2 linked regions of the Sus scrofa genome follow. The protein of the gene in region 2 interacts with the protein of the main gene of each other region in a pairwise test. Links are inferred from orthologs where the notes say so. Each region holds a gene or a part of one and is shown on either strand. Other genes may lie near its edges.

Region 1 (3,650 bases), on a different chromosome or scaffold from region 2:
AGAAAAAAAGGTAAGCCCCCGTCCCGGGTCTGCCACTGTTTATAAACTCAGGGCAACTGGCCTCACCAGCCACGTCCCCTGGGGAAGAGGTGGCATGTTTCATAAAACGTTGATTGTAAGAGACACTCACTTCCCAAGAGAAGTGACGTGGGGCTTTGAAGGGACAGTGTGTATTCTGAGCTCTGCCCAACGAGATGATAATCACTGAAAAACTCAAACATTTCCAGAATTCCATCACACCCTCTGTAAACCTGGCCTCTCTGCCTTTTATCAAAAGGGAATTAGTTACCTTGTAATAAGCCACATTCCAAGGGTGAAAAACAAATGTTAAAAAGACCAGCTATAACTCCTTAGAGACCAGCACCATTCAAGGTATTTCCCCAGGAAATAACTGCTCCACCGTTAAAATACCGGCGTGTGAAACGAGCTCCAGTTCTTACCGGCAATGGCGCCCGAGGCTAACGTGGCGATTATTGGTGTTTTGGTCCGGTCGTTGATCTTGGCCAAAAACTTAAACAGCAGCCCGTCTTCAGCCATGGCATAGATAACTCGCGGCATGGGGAACATGGAGCCTAAAAGGCTGGATGGGAGGAAGCGAAACGCATCTGCACAATCGCCCACCGGCAGTCAAGGCAGCACCCGGCAGCGGCCAGAGGCCTGGGCTCAGCAGCACGCCAGGAAAAGCACTCACTGCAGGTCTGTGTTAAGTGCAGGACCAGGAAAGGTCTACCGTGAACCAGCGGGGCATCAGGATGTAACTTTTTGGAAGAGAAACTGATTATTTCTAGCTGAATCAAAGAGAAAATCAGAGCATCGCTGCTGCACTTGAGGGGACCTCTCTGCGGTCAGCCGAGGTCCTGCACACATTTCTGTGCGTCCAGGCCAGCAGGAGCGAGCAGGGCAAACTGTTTCTCCTCAAAAGCCACTGGCTCCCTTTTTCAAACTGGGGGCCACAGAGGGGGCCTGAGCCAGTGGCCATGGTCGGGGGGCAGACGGCCAGGCCCTTGCTGAGCAGAAGGTGCTAAAACATGGGGCTTGGGTTCTTCGCGATGAAATGTCAGGAGCACAACAGCCCTTGGGGTGGCTGACAGCAGCGACAGGGGGAGAAGCCACAGCCAGGGTCGGGGGGTGCAGCTCTCTCTCCAGGGAGGAGAGGGATGCTTGCAGCAAACCCACACCCCCGGGAGCCCGGCTCCTCACCTGGTGGAGAGGGCGCAGAGGGAGCCCACAGCCACGGCGTACTTGGCACCATCCCAGCCCACGTGCTTGAAGGCGTCGGGCAGGGGGCTGTCCTTGTCCAGGCAGAAGTAGGGCATCATGAGCGTGAGGGCGGCCGACACCCCGAAGTAGGCGATGAAGCAGATCAGGAGTGAGGCGACGATGCCCACGGGGATGGCCTTCTGGGGGTTCTTGACCTCCTCCCCTGGAAGAAGGAAGGGTCAGGGGGTACTGGCGGGAGGGGGCTGGGGCCTTCCTGGCTCGGGGGAGGGAGGGGGCGCCCTCAGCACTGAGGACCAGAGCACACGGTGCCCGGGACAGACGGCCTTCTCGGCCTTCCCACTGTGGCTCAGCAAGGACAGGCCGTCTCCTCTGGCAGAGACAATGTGGGAAGCCCAGGAAGGGCTGTTCAATCTGCCACGATGACAGCGCTGGTGGCCCCTTTTCTCCCGGGTGGGGGACGGGGAGGAGGCAGATATGCAGTCAGCTACAGCTGCGACGTCAGCATCCGGGCTCGAGGCCAGGGCCCAGCACGTGGGGAGGTGCCGGGGGCGGGTGAGCAGGAAGCTACACACCCACACGGTTCTCGGGAGGGAGACACACGCCCCCAGGAAGGGAGAGAGCGGCCGCGGCCAGGTGAGCCCAGGTGTGCCCAGGGGAGCCAAGGGCGGGCGTACCTGTGGTAGCGATGCAGTCAAAGCCCACGAAGGCATAGAAGCAGGTGGCTGCCCCTGACAGCACGCCAGAGAACCCGAAGGGCATGAACCCACCGACGCCTGGCTTCCCCACCTTCGTGGCACTGGAACAAAGAGCCACAGTCAAGATCACAGCACCCACTTGGGGCCCCGATGAGGGGCCACCCCAGGCAGCACCCCACCCGACAGCCACTCCTGTGGCCAGGACTCCCACCCTCAGCGACCGGTCCTGGGGAAGTTGTCACAACCACTCACGCCTGGGCAGGAGGAAGCCCTGCGCATGAAGCCCTTCCCAGAAGCACCTGCTAAACACCGACTGGGGACAGGGATCGCGAGGCAGGTGCCCAGCGGGAGAGGAGAGGGACCCACACCAGAGGCCCCTCCCTAGGACCCGCAAAGAAAGAGGGTCCTCAGGGCACAGCCCTGCCCCACGTCGGCAAGCACGGGTGTTCTCAGGGCTGCCAGCAGCTCACCGCTCCAAGCCACTGTCCTCGGGATTCACGGACTGGCCAGTGGAACAGACACACTGGACCCGGCTATGTTCTAGTCGGGGAGCCTTACCCCAACTCCTAAATGACGAGCACACTTCTCAGTTTCAGAAACAGCCCCGGAAAGCCAGGGCTTGGGGATTTTCTCAAACATGGGCCTCCCTGTAGCAAGTGCAAGAAACGCATGCATGCCAGACGCAGGAAAAACCACTGCCAGGCTGACACGAAGTGTGTCCATTTAAAGTATGACTAAAACACACCCACAGCCGGGTACAAAGGCGGGACCGGTAAGTCAGCCAGGCACAGGACGCAGGGCAGGGCTGCGTCCTCCCGCCCCCAGCTGCCCACAGGCAGCCCCGCACCCCCCAGGTCTGCCCATCACTAAGCGTGCAGAGCACTCCGGAGAGCTGACCACTATTGTGAAAAGTGGCTGAAGCTTAAAACAAAACACTTGACAGGCAGCCAGCGCGGGAAGGGGGGGATGGGAAGACCAAAGGGGGCGGGGTCCCCAGGGGGCTCCCAGCAGACCCTTTCAGCACCCGAACACTAATGGAAGGACACGGGTCTATGCCCAGGGCCCCTGTCGCTGCCAGCCGGACAGACAGACAGACGGACAGGTACGGAAGGGCTGCAGATGCCCCCGGCATCAAGGGCTGGGAACAGCCGTGGGTCAGAGCGTGAACCCCAGGGTCTGCTTTAAACCACCTCCAGGCAGAAGCACCTGGAGAGGTTCTGGGAACCCCATTTTCAGGGAGGAAGAAGGGGTGGTCCAGCACACTCATTAAACCCCAGGGAGAGACGGGACTGGGGAGAGGACGAGGGCTGGACGCGCCCCCATCACGCGGATGGAGACACAGGACAGACAAGCACGGGGACGGCAGAGGGCGAGGAGGCAGAAAGCGGCCTCTGGGCTCCTCAGCGCAGGGACGGGGAGGAGTCAGACAGCGGCGGAGCAGAAGGACCGCGAGGGACAGGGAAGGGTGTCCCTCTGCTCTCCATGAACTGCGAGCCAGCTCTGCCACTGGGTCCCCTCAAAACCACCGCTAGGCTCAGGGGCTGGGACTTCAGGCACCTGTGACAAAGGCCGAGCTCCTGACACGAGCAGGTCTGCAGAATTCGCAGGTGCGTGACCAGGTGTGGTGAGCAAGTGGCTGTGCGACGCTACTTTTTATGTAAGGAGAGGGAAACCCCATACACAGTACACATGCACTATTCAAAATAAACATAAAGACACACCCGCAACTGCCTG
Region 2 (2,447 bases):
TTCTGAAGGCCTCCTGCAGCCAGAACTCAAGCAGTGACACTTCTGCCCTCTCAGGCCAAGCCCCAATTCTCTACCCAGCAACGCCCCCCTGCCCTCCCCGTGCACGAGGGGCATGTTACAGGGCTGTGACACGAGGCGGAGGGGTGGGGGTGGGGGGGTCAAAGCCCCTCCTTGTGGGCCCCCATGCAACCTCCAGGGCTGAGTCAGAGCCTCAGCCAGTCTCAGGAGAAGCCCTCCTAGCCCCAGCCCGGCCTTAGTCTTGCTGAATGAGCCCAGGGCTGCGTTCCCCTTCCCTGGGACTCCATTTCCTCCTGAGCAAATGGCAACATTTCTGGTCCTGCCCAGGACATTTCCTCTGATTGAGTCCTTGCATCGCCTGACCTGGACAGGCTGCCGCAGAGTGGCTTCCCCACAGGCCAGAGCCTGCCCCCAAGGCGCACCCCCCACTCTGCCCCACAGGGATGAGGATGGTGCAGGAAGGGGCACCAGGGTCTTTGTCTGGATAGGCTGTCCCCACGTGAGTCCTGGGTGCAAGAAGCTCAGCCACCAGGGTTTGCTGCTATCACTAAACTTTTATTAAGAACATTCTCTGTGCAGAGCCCAATGCATGACATTGAAGAAAACAGGGACGACACAGCCAAGCCCCTGCCAAGGATGGAACAGAAGGGACACCGAGGGCCCCCAGGCAAGATGTGGCTCCAAGACGGTCACCGTGGAGCCCTGACAGGCAGGTAGGAAGCACCTACCCCTGGTGTTCCTGAGGCAATTGGATGCCACCCTCCTTGCCCTCCACGGGGGCTGCCTCTCAGCCCCCTCGGACCTTCCTCCACCTCCCAGCTGCTGCTGAAGGGTGGGGAGGAGACGGCAGGGGTGGCCGAGGGAAGGAAGGGGAGGAGGGGAGGGCTCCATGTGCAGGTGGCCTGCGTGAAGCATCACTGGCGCAGCCACAGCCAGAGGTTGGCAACGCAGACGGATACCAGCATGGTGAAGAAGAGGGTCTCCCTGTGGCGCCAGGTGGCGCCCTGGTCCTCCAGGGCCCGCAGCCGCCCGGTGATCACTTGCAGCTGCCAAGAGACCAGAGCTGGCAGGTGAGCAAGGCCATTCCGGGGAAGCCTGCGCACACCGGCGGGGGGAAGAAGTGTGACCTCAGAGCAGGAAGGGGGTCTGGACCAGAAGGAGGCCGGGCAGCTGAGGCCAGGGTGTAGGGTGGGCCCCGCCGCCTCGCCCCCACTTTGGGGACCTTCCTCTTGTCTGGAAGAAGCCAGCCCATCCCAGCTGTGCCACCGCAGAGTGAGGGCCATAGGATGAGGTGACACTTAGGGGCCAGAGAGGGGCTGCCAGGGAAGTTGTCCCCCAGGCCCGTGCCCCTGCCTGTTGGGGTCGCTTCCTGAGAAGACGCGGGCTTGGTCTGAAGGAAGGTGACCCCTCACTCAGATGTCTTGGCATGGCTCTTTCAGCACCAGTTTCTCCTGTGCCCCCATGTCCTCTCTTCCCCCCCCTCACGCCCCCCCTTCTTCCTTCCAGCATCTCGGGGAGAGACACAGGGTTGGGGCTGGGCATCAGGATAGATACGGGAGCCAAGGGGACTGGGGGGAGGGAAGGGCGACCTGGATGTCACCGTCACCTCCACCGCTAGAGGATAATGCGACTGGCAAGGCTGAGCATCGCCAAGGCGGGTGTCGAGGCCCCGCCTGCCCCAGGGCACTGGGCCTCGGCCTCCACCCTCCGCGTGGCTCCCCGGCAATCCGACGCTCACCTGTCTTCTCATGATTTCCATCTCCAGCCCGTTTAGCTCCTCCAGGCCAATCTCAGCGATCACGTCTGCCCCCAGGTTGCTGGGAAAAAAGACAAGAGTGAGAGTCAGAGCTCCTGGGAGACCCCCATCGATCGGGTCCTTCCCCCCCTGGTAAGCAGGTCCTGGGGCCTGAAGACTGGGAGCGGCCCAGTCGCAGGGGCCCCAAGCAAGCCAGGGGCCAGGAGGCAACGGAGCCCGAGCCCCGCTGGCACGGCCAGCTGCTCACGCTCCCCCCTGGCCAGCCTGCCTGCCAGCCCCTGTGGCCCAGCCTTGTCCCTGGGACCCTTCTTACCGCTCGTAAAGGAACCCCATGCCTTGGAAGCCGCCCTCCTGGTTTGGTTCTTGGGACGCTTTCTTTGGTGGCAGCTGGGGCCCCTAGAGAAAGGAACGGTCAGGCAGAGCAGCCTGGACAGAGGGCCCAGCGGAGCAGTTGCCCCGCACTCTGTCCAGGACCCACTGGAAGTGCTTGGGAACCCCACGAGGTGGCCGCCGGCCACACCCCGCATGGACCACGCTCCTCAAGAGCTCTTGGCCACCCAGGCTATGATGAAAGAAGAGCAGTGACGGTGTCCCTGCCCTCTGCCAGCACTGTCACATGCAGACACCGGCTGATCTGAGCAATGACTGAAGGAGAAAGAGGGAAAAGCCCCAT

The links.
Region 1: the proteins of FATE1 (region 2) and SLC7A1 interact in binary tests that used the Homo sapiens proteins (3 or more experiments, as listed by UniProt). The two-hybrid records come from large-scale screens. The link is inferred for Sus scrofa from reciprocal best matches to the Homo sapiens genes FATE1 and SLC7A1.

What each region holds. Positions count from the first base shown.
Region 1 is NC_010453.5:6,549,073-6,552,722, forward strand, and holds part of SLC7A1 (high affinity cationic amino acid transporter 1), read right to left. Parts: intron 2,018-3,650; coding exon 1,896-2,017; intron 1,424-1,895; coding exon 1,201-1,423; intron 581-1,200; coding exon 441-580; intron 1-440. UniProt on the Homo sapiens protein: High-affinity, low capacity permease involved in the transport of the cationic amino acids (arginine, lysine and ornithine) in non-hepatic tissues.
Region 2 is NC_010461.5:123,111,284-123,113,730, reverse strand, and holds the end of FATE1 (fetal and adult testis-expressed transcript protein homolog), read right to left. Parts: intron 2,171-2,447; coding exon 2,088-2,170; intron 1,836-2,087; coding exon 1,757-1,835; intron 1,065-1,756; coding exon 933-1,064; 3' UTR 553-932; downstream 1-552. UniProt on the Homo sapiens protein: Involved in the regulation of endoplasmic reticulum (ER)-mitochondria coupling. Negatively regulates the ER-mitochondria distance and Ca(2+) transfer from ER to mitochondria possibly implicating it in the regulation of apoptosis.